Drosophila melanogaster: one gene and its partners. The protein of the gene in region 3 purifies or fractionates together with the protein of the main gene of each other region. This does not show direct contact. Each region holds a gene or a part of one and is shown on either strand. Other genes may lie near its edges.

Region 1 (3,916 bases), on a different chromosome or scaffold from region 3:
CATGTACTGAAAATGCATCTTCCTTATGTCCGGAGTGATTTGCGCAGGGATTCTGTCCATAAAGAGGGTGGAAGAACCTGGCATTTAGATCACAATAAAATCAAATAACTTTTTATATGTTGATAAACACAGGACGTTATCCTTACACACAGCATCAATTATGTTGGAAGCCAATTCAAGTGGAGCAGCTGTGAGTATGTTCGCCTTAATGGTGGCGATGTCAGTTAAAAGTCTAGGCACTGCATCCCACCAGCTTCGCGTCAACCTTCCCTCTTCGTCAACAGCTATATCTCCCAATGCTCCGAGGCGTAATAGGATAACAATGCCACACAGAATCCTCATATCCCTTCTTTAGCACACCGATGCTGGAACTAGTTTAAGTTTTGCAAGTATAGAAATTATCGCTAGTAAAGCGGCCATTGTTCGCTGGTTTTATTGTTCCCAAACTGAACTCGAAAATATTGTTTGCATACCCACTGAAATATTCGTACACTGAGTAAATGAGAGTGTTCTAGTTATTTTCATTAAAAAGTCATGTTTTATTAACCCAAATGCTGAGCAGTCCAAATTTAAGTAACGAACGTATTATGTGCAGATTTTTGTCTAGTTCGATTTCAGCCTTTCTCCGAAATGGTTAAGATTTTTTACTTACATATATATCAAATTAGGCATAAAAAGGTACAACTATAGAATTTAACTTAGAAAAGCGCAGCTAGGCGCCATGTAGTTTAGATATATCTTCGTATTGCACGTTGTCTACAATTCTGCCTTTGAGAGGACCGTGCAATATTTCCACGCTGACTGAATATCTGCGCTCGTCCAGTTTCCTTAGCAGAGCCTCGGATCCCCGATAAGCGCCATTAACCACCATGACAGGCTTGTCCAAAGCGGGGATTACCGTCTCCAAATGAGCCTGGAAAACAAAAAAAAATAAAAACACCTGGGTAAATATCCGTTATAGATTAAAATTGGGTTTCCATCTTACTTGATCCACTTTTAGCTTTTCCCCAGTCTCCAAGAACTTGATTTTGCCCTGATATCTGTCAATTACGTCCAGGACAACCGCTTTTTGTTTGAAGAACTTTTCGCCCATGGATTTGGAAATAAATTTGACCACGATACCCTTGTGCAGCCAGTAGTCCTTGCGGTTGGCACGCTCCTTTTTGCTTTCCTCCTGCTTGATGATCTCGTCCAGCACCGACCGCGTTTGGCTGTCTCCAGCCACGGATTTGGGTTTCTTGAACACCTTTTCTTCAGCTTCAGGGGCAGGTCGCTTGGCTAGAGCGGATTTCCCTAGCACAGTGTCAGGCTGGAACTTTTTCTCAAGGCGAATATCAAGCTTGAGTGGTTCGTTCTCTTCGCGCTTTAGCTCGGTGAACTTCTCCTGGCCTTCGTCCTCCTCGCCGTCCTTGGCCTTGGCATTTTTAATCTGCTGCTCAATGAAGTCGGCCATCCGCTCCTCGTCGTCCTTCTCCATCTTCTCCTTGCGATCAGCCTTCGCCTGTCGTTCCATGGCCTCTGGACTGCGATCAATGTAGGTGACGAACCAGCCCTTCTCCGTCTCATCCGCTATCACTTGCCCAGTCCGGCCCAGCCACTTCACGTAGTCGGACAGGGTGAGCCATCGGGTGGCGTTCATGTGGATGTGCTCCTTGTGGGCAATGTACTCCTGGTAGATCTTGTTGGCGCTGGTTCGCTTCGTGCCGAACCGCCGGCGCAGCAACTCCATGTAGCCGTCGGAGAACTCTTTGCTGAAGCTGTGCAGGAATTTGCCAGGATTGTCCGCAAAGAGGAGCAACTGGCGCTGGTGGGACTCGCTCATCGTGTGGCACTTGAAGCCGTTTTCATCGCGGCACTGCTTCTCGCACATCTGGCAGTACCAGCGCAGCTTCTGCAGACCCTTCGATTTCATCTTGTTGGCGAGGTACTTGGGCGTACCTACCTCGGCGCGACCCATCGTAGCGTCTTTTTATGTGCGTGGTTTTACAAATAATTTCTCAACAAAAACTTATTGTTTTGATCTCACGTAAAGGTATGACCGCGCTGGGGTATAACAACAATACCCGTGAACACTTTTATCGATAGTTACTGCTGGGGGATGTTCGTGTGACCAGGCTAATATTATTTGTTGATAGCGGTAGAAAATGAATTTAAAAAACTTAATATTCATTTCTTGAAAGATTTTTATTTAAATATTCAAAATAGAGATTAAGCCGAGTTTACATAATAAAGGCGTATTTTTTATCACAAAGTAATAACTACAATGAAATGTACAATTGAACGATTTCCATTAATTAGCTTAATTCACATAGAAAATAATTCAAAGCACAATTTTCTCGCCCAATCTCTCAATTTCGTCCAAAATGAAGTCCAACTCTTTGCTTTTCAGGATGGGAAAACAAGTGAAGACCATGCGAAAGAAGTTGCCCAGATTTTTAGCTTTAAGAGGCGAGTAACCAATCATCAAAGTGCCGCTGTGGGCCATTTGCTCCTTAATTTTCGGGGCCACCTTTAAAGGAGCATATAAAAATGTGAGCTTAAATGGTCTATCAAAGCCATTGTTATTCACTTACAGTGTAAAGTCGACTCCACCATTCAGGCGTCTCCTCCTCGCTGGACACCCTCATTGCTTTCGGAATGAACCAAAAGCAGACATTGGAGTACTCGTGCTCCGGGATCACCAGTCTAAAGCGATCTCCACGCTGGCGCAGCTTGCCTTCCAGCAACCTGGCGATGTGGATGGCGTGGTCCACCATGAGTCCATACTTTCCATATCCGCGAGCCTTAAGCATTAGCCAGAACTTGAAAGCGTCGATCTTGCGGCCGCACTGGACACTCTTGTTTCCCGTATCGTAGGATACATCATAGAACTTGTCCTGCTGGAACAAATAGTGCGCCTCGGTGCTGTTGCATCTTTCCAGCAGACGGCCAGATTCCCTGGTCAAAAAGAGTGAACACTGCAATGGAGCGCCGATGGTTTTGTGCGGATTCCAGGAAAACGAATTCGCCCGCTCGAGGCCGGCAATGAGCGATCGGTTCTTGGCGGAGAGTAGTGCAGCGCCTCCCAGACAGGCGTCCACATGGAGCCACAGACCATGTCGTTCCGTCACATCCGCCGCACCATTGATATCATCAAAGGCACCCAACACAGTGGTGCCTGCAGTACAGTTGACAAAGAACGGTTCACCGCCACGTGCCTTTGCCTCTGCGATCTTCGCCTCCAGGTCGTCCAACAGCATCTGACCCCGCTCATTGGTCCTCACCGACACACAGTTGTAGCTGCCCAATCCCAGCCAGTTGGCCGCCTTCACGAAGCTGTAGTGCGACTCGTCGGAGGTAAAGAGCACCAGCGGTCGCATTCCAAACATTCCAGACGTCTTCACCTCGGGCGCGATCTTATAGCGGGCCAGAACCATGCCGTACATGTTGGAGGTGGAGCCACCGGGCGCAAAGATGCCATCGCCTTCCTTGTATCCCGCTAACTTGCAGATGGTCGCGATCACCTCAGTTTCGATCAAGCTAAACACGGGCGCAACTTCGTAGGTGTATCTGAAACAAAAGTTTATTGTGTCTTGTTGGATACCTCGGTTAAAAGTCTGATTTTGGTAGTCCTATCTAGGAAATCTCATCTAAATGATTAATAACTTGCAATGATTGTGTATGAACTCTGCTTAATCCCCATTTAAATTAATCGAAAGGGGGGGGGGGGGGTTATGAAACATACATGTAGTACTTTGCAATCTCCATTACATAGCGCAATTATCTGTACGTTGAACCCCGACACCACTTGTAGATTGGAACACGAGATGCAATCAGCGGTCACTCATATAGACAAGACACATGTGTGGAATAAGGCGCAGACTTACGTGCTGCCGTTCATGGCCTCGGTGACCAGGGCTCCTGCCAGTCCAAACGG
Region 2 (3,535 bases), on a different chromosome or scaffold from region 3:
GTAGCTGTTGATTAATACATTACAGTGTTACTTGACTACCGATTGTTGCTTAAGTATCATTATTGCTTACACAATCGCATTAACGCCGCGACAATAGCGCTCCCACATGGATCGGAATCGAGGTTGGCCTCCGATGTCCCACACCTTGATAGTCACATTGCCTCTGGTGATCTTGCGCATGTTGAATCCAACTGTGGGTATCATGTCCTCAGCGAATTGGCCGGACTACAAGAAACAAAAATAATTAGTAAGTAATCGTGTCTTAAATAAAATACAACTTTTATATTAGCAAAGAACAAAGCCTAGAAGTATGCAATCCAAAATAATGTAAAACTCGTGTAAAAAATTGATTTTTTACACATGACAGCATCCAAAACCTTAAAAAATTTGTTATTCTTTTTGAAAATGCTCTTAAATAAATAACTATTGTAATATCTTAAAGTATTGATCAAACAATGTCTTTTGGTACTAAATTTAATTCAACATACAACACTTAAATTGATAATTGATTCTAACCCATAAATCTTTGTTCTGTATCAGCATCAATCACCTTACATATGCATTCAATAAGAGAATCGAAAGCTCCTAAAATGGCAAGATGTTACTTCTGTGACTTAGTTTAAATTAAAAAGGTATACTATAGGTTAGCAGTCGCTAGTGAAATGGGAAAAGTGACTAATTGGCGCCACCCACAAGTTTGTTTTCATTCCGAACCTGAACATTACACTAATGCACGAATCTGAATGCAAACACGGAATTGGAGTCTAATAGCAGTGATAAGCAGGGGAATATTTCCGTTTCGGGAGCACTTGAACAAACAAATTTCCCGTAGATGCGGGCAGACATTTGAATCGAATTCACATGACTCATAATAAGTCAGGCGGTCACAAAGGCAGTAGTTACTCCACCTCCCGCAACGACTGGCAAGTGTATGCAACTATCTACGAGTTCCAGTAAATGGTAACTTGAGATCGTCGCATTATCAGCGTGCAGAAATGTGTGAAAAAAACCAGGGAGGCGGTACGGGAATACGGGGTCAGGGGTTGAAGTGCTGATAATGGCGTCATTGTGCGGAGAAACATGCGTATATATGGGCTATATGTAGGTTTATTGATTACAGCGGCAGGAACGGTAAACTTTACCACTAAAAGGAAACGGTTAGCACAGCGTTAATTACGGATGCAGTGAAAGAAACTGGGAGTACGAAAAGATAAGAAATAAACAATGTTAGAGTGGGGGAATCAAGCTAAGACCAATTCCTTTGTCACTGGGGGTTTGTAATGCTTTTTAAGTAGTAGCTGATCCCCCGGCTTTCCGTGAACCCCCTCCCCACCCACACAACAGACAACCACACACAAAAAAAACCACCCTCTCACCCATACACCCACACGAATTCGCACACACCCACTGCGAAAATACTCACTGCAATAACATTGACGAACGTCGTCTTCCCGGAGAACTGCAGCCCCACTAGCGTGAGTTCCATCTCCTCTTTCCAGAAGATGCTCTTGAACCACTCGAGGATCCTGTTGATGAGGGCCAACATCCTGGGGCAGGTGTGTTTCTGGTCGGGATCTGCTTGAAATTCGCGAAAAAAGGTTTCCTTTTCCAAAGAGCGTAAATGTTGTCGTGAAAAAACAACTGGGCAGGTCAGTGTGGCCAAGTGCGCGGTAGTGTACTTAGTAGTATTCGTAGTGAATGGTAATCGTTTATTTCAGCATGTATCCAATTAAGAGAAAATAAAATTCATATGGTATATATATATTAAGTACAAATAAATAATATTATGTCTTCGGGTTTCATCGGGAATATTATTAATAAATTGCATTTAAAATATATGTGAAATCGCTACTGGACAATATTTACTGTACTTGCTATCGATAACGTGTAACCGATTTCCGTATAGTTCGCTGTGACTGGCAATTAAGGCAGAAGAAGTTAGTAAACAAAATGGTAAGATGATGTGAAAATTTTATTAATTTTAATTAAATGAATAATACATGTATATTTTCAGGCGCGCAATGCAGAGAAGGCAATGTAAGTAACCCGGATATACGTATAACATAAGATTTCCAGCACTCATCCGCTTATTTTCGACAGGACAACTTTGGCACGTTGGCGGGCCGCAAAAGAAGTGGAATCTGGTGAAAAGGAACGCCGGCCCTATTTGGCCTCCGAGTGCCACGATTTGCCCAGATGTGAGAAGTTCCGCCTGGAGATAATACGCGACATATCGAAGAAGGTGGCCCAGATACAGAATGGTACCTATTTCGGTTTATTTATTTCTCCCTAACAATATACACTAATAGCGACCACTTATAGCTGGCTTGGGAGAATTCCGGATTCGCGATCTGAACGATGAAATCAACAAGTTATTGCGTGAGAAACGGCATTGGGAAAATCAGATATCCTCATTGGGTGGCCCCCACTATAGACGCTATGGTCCCAAGATGTTCGATGCGGAGGGCCGTGAAGTTCCCGGCAATCGAGGCTACAAATACTTTGGAGCCGCCAAGGATCTGCCGGGTGTTCGCGAGCTCTTTGAACAGGATCCTCCGCCGCCACCCAGGAAATCACGCGCTGAACTAATGAAGGACATAGATGCCGAATACTACGGCTATCGAGATGACGAAGATGGTGTTCTGATCCCTCTGGAGGAACGCATCGAACGAGCGGCCATTCAGAAGGCCGTGCAGGAATGGCGGGAGAAAATGGCCAGAGATGGTCGCATAATCGATGACGAAGAGGAGGATGAAATATATCCCCTTTCGGGACCAGCACGCGAAGCCATCGAGGATGCCAAGGCTCGAGCCGCCGTGGAGGATCCTCATGGCCTATTGGCATCCAAGTTCACCGCTCACGTTCCCGTGCCGACGCAACAAGATGTACAGGAAGCACTGCTGCGCCAGCGGAAACGGGAACTGCTGGAGAAATACGCCGGTGGCACTAACTAAGCTCAATAAACATTCTAAACTCTTAGTTTGATACATTTAAATCGCGTGTTCTTTTAACACGGCATGTTTTGGGTTATGATCATCTATAATTGGAATAGATAAATAGTTAAACAATTTTTGGCAAGGCACTTCAATGCGCTCTAGTCTCTTATAACTAGAAAATGTAGAATGAATCAGTATTGAAATTGATCGAAATTTCGGCGTCCGCCGCCACGTCCGCCTCCAAAACGACCACCTCTTCCTCCAAAACCGCCACCTTCAGCAGCGCGCTTGTCCTTCATGGCTTTAAAGCGTCTAGCCATGTTGTGCAGTTCGTCGGGCACTTCCTGCTCCGCCTCCTGCAGTATCTCAATTAGTTCCTTGGCCATAGCCCAATCCTCGCGCGTAAAAAAGCTTATTGATGTGCCCTGTCGGCCAGCACGTCCGGTGCGACCAACACGGTGCACATACTCCTCGATGTTGTGCGGAAAATCATAGTTGATGACATGTCTTTGTGGATGAAAAAATAATGACTAATGGGTTCCTCGACTCGAAAAATTTGCTTACGTGATATCCTCAATGTCCAGGCCACGTGATGCCAC
Region 3 (4,806 bases):
CCGGAAAAGAATGCCAGACCCAGTCTGCCTCCAGTCGATCCGCCTGTATCTGTATCTGTATCTCTTTATCCCAGCCGGACGCCACTGATAAGCGCCGCAGATCTGGCGGACTATGCTGCAGCTCGGCTCGTGATCGCTCATCAACCTGCCCAACATGCGACAGACAACGACGAGTTCGGCGATCGGCAGCGCTCAGTTGAAATTCGCACTTAGGCAGACCGGATCAGTCAGCTGTTTGACTATCTTTATGATATGGCGTGCTCCCTGTGGGTTTCGTTATCGCGTTACGAGAGATGAAGACTAGATATTCCTGAAGACAGCTTAACGACGGACCGCTTGCCGGATTTACAGCTTTTCAAAGTCCAAACAAACAAGATTGTGGATTCCACCTCAGAGCTAAGCCAATGACTTCTCCGATTTGGCCAGAAAAACAAAAACCTGGGAATAGGGAGCTCTTGCCAGAAGTTGGGGATCAATCATTTTACTTGAACTAAAAAACATCCACAGTTTTTAAGATTCAATTATATTTGTATTTACACCGAAAAAATGTATGCGTCGCGATCTATTGAGAACTTGAGTCACAGTTGAGCTACGCTGTTATTGCCACGGGAACATTTACATGAGGATCACGGCATCCACTTACTACAAAATGGCATACATCAGGAGTATCTTCCTCATTGACTGCACCATTTTTGACTGTAGTAGTGTAGTGAGCAATGTGTACTTAGGTATAGGCTAGCATAAGAATGAGACCTACGAATTGCCGTCTAAATCGAGGGCTAACAGCTGTGCGCGTCTGCCGTCGTGGGGGACACCGTCGCAGGGCGTGGTGCTCCACAAGTGGCTTCCCACAGACGGCTCAGGACTCATCCGACATTTTCGTAGGACATTGGAGGCCGTTCGCTGGCGGTCGATCCGAAGATCGTTGGCGGATGGTGTTGCTGTCCCTGTTGCTGCTGCTGGTGGGGATGCTGTTGCTGTTGCTGGTGGGGATTGTGGCCATGCTGGTGTTGCTGTGCGGTCGGCTGCTCGTTGCGAAGCTGTCCCAGCGGAAACATGATGTTGTGGGCCATCTGGGGGTGGTGCAGGTGCTCATTGGGTGGCGGTGGAGGCGGTTGCTGGTGGGCAGCATGAAGGGCCTGAGCGGCCTCCACATGCTTGCGTTGCTCGCTTTGCTGTTGCTGTTGCTGCTGATGAACCTTCTCCACGCTGTTCTCCTCGTACTTCTTCTGAAGTTGGAAAAGAGGCAGCTGCTGGGAGGTATGAATGGGCACAGCAACTGCGCCTGCAGATGCTACTCGCTCTACCTGTGATTGAGGCGATGGTTCACGCTCGCCCTTTTCGTATTTCTTTTGCAACTGGTACATGCTGTGGGACAAGTGAGTAGTCACCGTGCTACTGCCACTGCTGCTAGAGCTGAGTTTTGAGGAGGTTGACGTAGAGGAGGGCGCGGGCTTCTCCGCTTTGACAGGCGACTTCTTCTGATACTTCTTCAGTATCTGCATTAGTTCGGACTTTACATCAAGGCGTATCTCCTCCGGAACTCTCTTGATCTCTTCGTACAGGGATAAGAGGAACAGCTTGTCGGGATCCCGGTTCTTGCGCTTCTTGCTCTTTTTTGGAAATGCATCCTGCATGAACTGCAGAAGCTTCTCCTCAAATGGCGACTCTCTGGATAGTGATCCACTTCCATGCTGGCGCCTCAACAGGTGTGGATGCAAGCCACCGTGAAAAGCAGGGTGCTGGAGCATTCCGGAGTGGGATTGACCACCGCCGCTATGCTCGCCTCCTCCACCGCTGCCATTGTGCGCCTGCAACTGGGATACTGGGTGTCCCTGATATGAGCCACCATTGCTTGATCCAGGAGCATCATTGGTTTCGCCATCGTTGGTGTGATGATCCTGCTGCTGCTGTTGCCCTGCATGCGATTGCGGATCCTTCTGGTGCTGCATATTGTGCTGGTGATGGCCCACTGCTGCCGTGAGAATAGCATCGCACAGATGCTCCGGGGCGTAGTCCAAGCCGGTCAAGAAGTTCTCCGCCTTGAGCTCACCATTCATCTCCTCGTAGAAGTACTCGGTGCCCACAATGTCGATGATATCGTTGTCCTCCTGGTTTAGTTCGATCCCCGGTGGTGGAGATCCTCCAGAGAGTTGACAGCGCTTCAGTTCCGCCAGCTTTTTCCTTGTGGTCAGTCGCATATCGCGCCAGCACTGGAAGAAGATTAAAGTTTATTTTTGGATTTAATAGGCAAGTAAACGCACCTTTTTCCACTGAATAATCGTCTTCTTGGGACCAATAGTATTAAGGGCCGCTTGGATCTTCTCCCAATACCACTCCTTCTCCTTTTTGCCCTCCATGTACTTGGTTTCCCGCAGCAGTGTGATGAGCATCTTCTTCTGCGGCTTGGTCACTCGATCCTGGAAGAGTAAAACGGTTCATTAGCAATCCCACATTCCAATGAATGAAATTCCACAAATCGGTGCTTTTCCCGCCTCGAACACCACTCCAATTGTTGCTATTGTTTATCCAAATGCCAGCGGTGTCTACAATATTTTGCTGCTCCCCGCACACACACACGCACAAGTCGTGTGTGTGTGTGGTAAAAGAATCGGACGATTCGTAATTTTTGGAACCTTGCAAATTACCATGGTGAGCTTTTGAAGCAGTCTGCGTTGGCTCGAAATCTTGATGTTTTGTTTTTCAACCGCCGTCGAGTTTTTGCTGCTGAATTCCGGGGACTTTTGTTTAATTTTTCACTCCCTCAAACATTGCTGTTGCTGCCTTTCGTTCTTCTTCTTCTGTCCGCTGCGTATGTGTGTGTGTGCGTTTGACGGTCTCACCAGTTTGACGTTTCGCCCGCCCGGTTGGAAATCAGCTGATGCGCAAACGACCGTTACAAAATTAAATTTGTAGTTAAATTACTTATTTCGTTGATTTAAGTAATGTAGCAATAAGTATATTGACCGATGGCTCTTGAAATAAGTATATTGCTGTAATACACAACCTTTTTTGCGAATTAAAAAAACTTGAAAAAATTCACAATTAAAATGATAAGAACAGTTTTATATGGTATTTTTAAAGTTTTATTAAGTGATAAGAAAGTAAACGAGTTCCATTTCAGCGTTTGTTGGTTGTCGCCTGTCTGCTGACCTGCCGGGTGATGGTGGACACACCCTCCTCGAAGAGAGTGCGGAACAGGACGTTGGCGTGGTTGAAGAGACCATCCTTGAGAGACACAATCAAGAACTGCGAGTTGGTGAAGTGCTGCTTCAACATACTACCTATGTTTTGGGTGTGTGACATGTCCAGGGCAGCGTCCACCTCATCCAAAATGTACAAGGGAGCCGGAGAGAACTTAAGCATGGCCAGGACAAGGGACAGAGCCACCAAGGACTTCTGGCCACCAGAAAGTTCACCGAGACTCTCCTTCCATATGCCATTGAAGCCGACTTTAATCTCCAAACCGGTCAGACAGCCATTGGTATGGACGGGATTGAGTTTCGCTTCAGCACCCGGTAAAAGGGAGCTAAAGATCCCACTGAAGTTCGTGTTCACCTCGGTAGCGGCTTTGTTCAGCTGATCCTGCTCTTCTTCGTCCATCTTCACTATGATTTTCTTAATCTTCTCCTTGTCCATCGCCACAATGTTTCGCCGGCGCTCGGTCTCCTTGAAGTTCTCTTCCTCGCGATCCAGCACCATGATAGCGTTCATGTTGAGAGTGCGTTCCATTTTGTCCTTTTTCTCCTGCATCTTTGCCAGCTTGTTGCCTGCTTCGTGGGGGTCCTCCTTGCTGTAATCGTACCGAGTATTCTTCATGCCAAAGCAGTTCTTCTCCTCCGGAATCCACGGATACTTTGCCTCAAGGGCTTCCATCCGTTTCTTTGCCTCTTTGGCATCCGAACTGATCTTTTTTTGTTCGTTCTCTTTTTTCTTCACCTCCAGCTCAATCTCCTGATTTTCCTTCAACATTTTCTCCTTCTTGACCAACTGATTTCGCATCTCCTTGTTCTGATCTCTCAGTTTATCTTTCTGCTCCTTAATCGCCTGTTCGAGCTCCGTCACCTCGGACGCGGCACTGGAGCTATTTACTTTCAGAGCGTCTAGCTCGGCCTTAAACTTTTCGAGGTTATCAATCATTTCCTGGTGCTGCTTCTTTGCAGTTTCGATACTTTTCTGCAGCTCAGTAATTTCCAATTGAAGAGTTTCGAACTCCTGCTCTCGCTTTTTCCAGTTCGCACGAGATTTCTCCGCCCTTTGCTTGGTCACCTTGATCTCGTTGGTGGCTGCATTCAGCTCTCGCTCGCGATAACCCTTTGCATCTGCCAACTTCGCCTCGATATCCACTATTTTGGCTTGCGAGGTCTTCTGCTTTTCACGGGAGTCAATTATTTGCTGCTCTAGGGTCTTGACCCTTTCCCTCATTTCTTCAATTTCAGCCTGATTCTGTTGAAAGGTTGTTTGGGCCAACCTGTTCTCGCACATGGTTAGCTCGTGCTGTCGCAAGTCAAGATTTTCCTTCATTTTGTTGAACGCGAGGGCCTGGTTTTCAATGGATCTAAAAACAGATAGGCGTAAGTATTGGCAATGAGAAGTTACTGGTTCACCTACGCAATTTGCTTTTCCACTTGGGCTATCTCAGAGTCGATCTCCCTGTACTCCTTTTCTATTTGCTTAATTGCGTGCAATTCTTCTAGAACGTTAGCACCTTTAGGAGCAGCACCTCCAGACACTGTGCCATGGGGATCGACGACATCTCCTTCCAAAGTCACAGAACGACAATTAATACGGGGGTCGTAGCTGATC
Region 4 (4,539 bases), on a different chromosome or scaffold from region 3:
GCAGCAGGTGAAGTAAATGGCAATAAAGGAGAAAAATTAATTTTATCCTTTCCATTTCCGTTGTTGCGCGCATCAGTGTGTGTGCGGTTTTCCTTCTCACTCTTTCCTTGGCCGTGTGGGTGGCAGTTTTTCCCGCACATTTTTTTTAGTTTTCTTCAGCTTTTGCATTATTTTAACGTGTGCTCTTTTTTCCCACCCTCACCTCGACTCTATTTTTTTTCCTTCGTTATAAATCTTGAGGTTGAGCACTCGACTGGACGCCATTTTTTATTTTTCACCTTCAGCCCCCACCCACCTGAACCCCACCCTTTACCATTCCCTCCCCATTCCCCCTTTTAGTCGGACGTCGCTTATTTTTCAATTCTGTCAGCTGCTTTGGTCAGAAAATGTCGCTTGGGAGCGGTCGACGGCATCCTTTTCTCCGATTGCAAAAGTTGAGATGGGATGTGTGGGGTATATATGCTTGTATGCTATCTGCAAAATAATTTATAGATGCCTCAACCAAAATGGACAGAGTAAAGGGTTCCGTTTCCTTATTTACTTTTTTATTGAGACTCCGTTTTTTTTTTCATTTTAGATACTGAAATTCAAGAAGGCACGTTGTATAGTGGATCTCAAGGGGGTTTTAGATAAAGAATCACTTTTACAAATCAATTCTGGACATTAGATACAATAGAGACTTCAGAAACAAGCAAGTGTTTCTTAAGAATTTACGGTAGAGAACTATAGCATTACATTCCTTTAATTTTGTCATGGGTATTCTCATATTTGTACTAATGTCTATGATGTCCATGATGTTCGTGGTGTCCATGGTGCTCATGATGTTCACGGTGATGATCGCCATGATGTTCCGGATATTCATGAGGATTTTCGTGAAAATGACCGGACTCAACTGGATTAGTTCCATGGAAATGGCCAGATCCCACAGGACTTCCGTAACCAGGCTGATATTGGTTTGGAGAACCTTGTCCAGCGAATCCTCCTTGACCCGGGTGGACTCCGCCTTGACCAATTCCCACCTGGCCACCAACTCCACCCTGTCCAGTGAATCCTATTTGTCCACCAAAACCTGCTTGCCCGCCGATTCCTCCGAATCCTCCAAATCCTCCTTGCCCTCCATATCCTCCTTGTCCAACTTGGCCGAATCCATTCTGAGCGTTCACAGCGGTCACCAGTGCAAACAGAGCAATCTATAGTTATAAATTTGTTATTATAAAAATATTTCTAAGTTAGTTAAGATTTCTATAGTAGAAGACGCACCAGTAGTTTCATCGTGGCTGAAGTTTCGGTACTGAGGCGGCTCTAATATTTTTTTGATTTTTATACCACGATTTGGTAATATCAAGTAGGTAGCTGAAAGGTATTCTACCTGGCTGAGGGACTTAAGTTTGAGTCTCTACCTGTAAAAGGAAATCACAGAAAAGTATTGCCGTCAACATCTGGTTACGATGGAAAATAAAATAAACCAGTTTATTGGAAGAGGGAAAATGGAAAAACAGAAAAATCCGGAATTGAATAGAATACTAATACTAATTCAGTACCATATTGAAATGACGGAAATATAAAGGAGTTTTTAAATTATTTGTTTATTTATATTTATTTATTTGATATTTGAAAAGTTTTTATCAACATAACATTACTCGATTTTTTTGATCAGGAAAATCCGGATAATATAAAATCATTAATAAGACATTACTCAGATACAAGATATAACATAGTGACTTTACCTTTTTTGAAACATTTTCTACTGTTGTCTAAATATCAATGATTTCGTATTTATTTTTTCCAGGTATTTCATCAGTAGGAACTTCGCCACCGGGAATTGGAGATTGGAAGCTGCCATGCTGATCGTCGTTTGAGGTTTCGTTGTGAGGTCTTTCGGTACCAGGAAATCCACTTTGAGGTGGACCGCCTCCTGGGCAACCGCAATGCGGACACCCTCCTGCTGGAGATCCAGATGGTGGGGGGTGGTGTGAAGAAGGAGGCGGAGGTGGCGGAGGAGGATATCCCTGCCAATGGTGGCCACCATACAGATATCCCCCTGGTGGTGGATAATGGGGCGGTGGTGGAGGTGGACCGTATCCCTCCCAAAAGTGACTTCCATGTCGATGGGGGCGATGAGGCGGTGGTGGAAAAGGCTGGTGCTGGTGTCCGTGTCCACAGCGTCCACCAGCACCATGTCTGCCACGATGGTGATGATGGTGACGAGGGGGAGGTGGACCTCCGTGTGGGTGATGTCCTCCTCCAGAAAATCGCCGACAGCCCATCTGATCGAGTCTCAGATGAATTTAGAGCAACGATCTGAAAAGATGTATGACTAATATTTTTGAGAACAAGATGCATTTGAATCTTTTTATATGCAAAAATTATTATATATGTTTATACGTCCGTTGTACATACATATGGTAAGCTGATAAGAATATTTTCTATGTATATATTCATTGACTTACATTTTTTCCTATTTCTATCTTAATGGAAACAATATACAGTAAATAAATGTTTGTTTTGCAACTGGTTTATTTTAGCGTACTTATTAATACGTCATTTATTTGTTGCTTTTAATAGCTAAAACAAGTTAGAATTCGATTTGTTGACGCAGTGGCCGAATTCATTGATATATATAAGTCTGGATATTTTTTTCTCTATCAATAAATATTTTAAAGAATAATTCCTAATACAAGTAAAGGCAAAAAGAAAAACCAGCGCACAATTAATTGCTTTGAATTTTGTTGTTTTGAACACAAGAATTGGATCAGCTGCTTAAATGTTATTTACAATTTAGAGTGGCATTGTATTTGGTTGCCAAAAAATAATATATAGGTTTATTTTTGGAAGAGTTGTTTGTTGATAACATATCGCCGCCAAAAATACTACAAGTTCAAATGCTTATGAGATTAAAAGTAAATTCGGAGGTGAAAAGCAACCATTTAAATAAGCAATATTGTTAAACTTTAAAACTGTGAAAATTATATTTGATTATCTAATTACATTTTCAATCTATCTCTTTATTTGTGGAGTCTAGTGATAACCAAAGAATTAAACAACTAAATCGTCTTAATTTCCGAGAAGCTGCTTAGCTATTATTATGCCTACGCTTGCCTTAAGTATTTATCCTTGAGTAAGGAAATCCTTCTGGGCGGAAAGAAAATCCAGCGGCATAAAGTTATGTGCCCAGGGCCAAAATTTTAATTCCAAATTTAATTTTCAGCCATTTTCCTCATTTTCCCCGGATGAATTTGTCAGGGCGTGTCGCATTCGGAAACCACTCGCCGGGGAATGAAGTGGAGACAAAGACATCTCGGGAAAAGGAAACATTTTTTGGCTTATGCCAAAATTACATCAAAAAGCGCTGCGGGTATGTAGGTATGTAGACAGACGTGGCAATTCCCATCTTAGGATTGAGTAAAGTGGCAAAAGGACGAGGGGCAGGCTGGAGCTGAAGGATTGCTGAGCCTTGGAAGTGGCAGGGAGTGAATGTCGTGAAGATATGCCAGGACCCTTGGAGAAAAGTTGAGCGGACCGAGGAACAGGGTTTGGTGATTGCTATCTTCATAATGACTTTGAAGTGTCAAACAATTTTGGGGAATTATCAACGCCCGCCTCGTCTTTCGCAAAGGTGAAAATGAAAATTGTACTTTTTGTTTGACTCAAACTTGATGGGGCCAAACTGAAGATATAATTATAATTTAATTGAAATGAAATTGTCGCTTAAGTCGAGTAGAAAAGGAATGGTATTGCGGCATTGGTAGACTCCAGGGGTAAAGCTCTCAACTTAATATTTTGCTGGCTAAAAATTTGGGCAGATGCGAAATACTCTTGGCTGAGCTGTAAAAGTGAGTCAATAAAATACACAACTATTTGCGCACCAATTTAATATGCCACATAGGCAAGTTAAAGGAGTTCGCCCAGCTCAAGTTTTCCGAGGGATGCGACAAAATACATTGGGTTGACAGAAGCCCATGAAGGGCCAAAAAGAAAAGCACACCGAGTTTCTGAACAGGTCCGAACAATGTCCGAGGAAAATCAATTTAATTTTTACTCATGTTCATGGCGTGACCCCTCGATAATCCATGGAAAAGGGGACGAGGTCGTCCTGCTGCTGAGCCGCCTGAGGTGGAAATTTCACTTAAGTCACTTTCAACTTTCGCAAGATGCCATCAAAGTTGGCTCCAAAGTTACTGGTCAGTTGATTTTTCCACCTCCTGGGGCGGCGGCCATTACCACCGATATTTACATTTTACCCAACCCACGGGGAAAACCTTTTCTCGAACACGATCTCCCCCAGCGCTCTCCAAACTTATGAAAAGTTTCGGTGAATTTGCGATAATGCTTTTTTTGGCTGGTGGTATATACATTTAACTTCAGCGCACGTGTGTCAGCTTTTCATCATATACTCTTCACAATTTTCAAACCGTGAAGTGCTTTTTCATGAGACCAGAAGAAATGAGTAAAGTTTTTTTTTAAAATAATTTTTTATATATTTTTTATCCCAAGAGCTTCAAGTTCTATTATAATGCCCAAAAATGTAACGTATGTTTA

The links.
Region 1: the proteins of CG10209 (region 3) and kin17 purify together in Drosophila melanogaster (affinity purification with western blotting, with the first as the bait; one study listed by BioGRID). This does not show direct contact.
Region 2: the proteins of CG10209 (region 3) and CG9667 purify together in Drosophila melanogaster (affinity purification with western blotting, with the first as the bait; one study listed by BioGRID). This does not show direct contact.
Region 4: the proteins of CG10209 (region 3) and sala purify together in Drosophila melanogaster (affinity purification with western blotting, with the first as the bait; one study listed by BioGRID). This does not show direct contact.

Annotation. Positions count from the first base shown.
Region 1 is NT_037436.4:20,354,938-20,358,853, reverse strand, and holds kin17 (kin17), read right to left. Parts: upstream 2,048-3,916; 5' UTR 1,958-2,047; coding exon 986-1,957; intron 914-985; coding exon 713-913; 3' UTR 523-712; downstream 1-522. Other genes in the region: CG5665 (uncharacterized protein), read right to left, coding at 1-77, 147-342; CG5618 (uncharacterized protein), read right to left, coding at 2,321-2,509, 2,574-3,549, 3,867-3,916.
Region 2 is NT_033777.3:8,124,731-8,128,265, reverse strand, and holds CG9667 (uncharacterized protein), read left to right. Parts: upstream 1-1,908; 5' UTR 1,909-1,950; coding exon 1,951-1,953; intron 1,954-2,014; coding exon 2,015-2,037; intron 2,038-2,100; coding exon 2,101-2,261; intron 2,262-2,322; coding exon 2,323-2,954; 3' UTR 2,955-2,976; downstream 2,977-3,535. Other genes in the region: Arl8 (ADP ribosylation factor-like 8), read right to left, coding at 1-4, 71-225, 1,424-1,546; CG7878 (uncharacterized protein), read right to left, coding at 3,128-3,443, 3,501-3,535.
Region 3 is NT_033778.4:14,845,552-14,850,357, forward strand, and holds CG10209 (uncharacterized protein), read right to left. Parts: upstream 2,816-4,806; 5' UTR 2,652-2,815; coding exon 2,649-2,651; intron 2,421-2,648; coding exon 2,265-2,420; intron 2,214-2,264; coding exon 867-2,213; coding exon of another isoform or gene 780-866; 3' UTR 513-779; downstream 1-512. Other genes in the region: SMC2 (structural maintenance of chromosomes 2), read right to left, coding at 3,121-4,558, 4,612-4,805.
Region 4 is NT_033779.5:11,482,943-11,487,481, reverse strand, and holds sala (spalt-adjacent), read right to left. Parts: upstream 2,776-4,539; 5' UTR 2,451-2,775; intron 2,302-2,450; 5' UTR 2,268-2,301; coding exon of another isoform or gene 1,755-2,267; 5' UTR 1,728-1,754; exon of another isoform or gene 1,699-1,727; intron 1,401-1,698; 5' UTR 1,273-1,400; coding exon 1,261-1,272; intron 1,191-1,260; coding exon 774-1,190; 3' UTR 533-773; downstream 1-532. Other genes in the region: CG43355 (uncharacterized protein), read right to left, coding at 1,755-2,267. UniProt on the Drosophila melanogaster protein: Likely to be involved in the establishment of the head.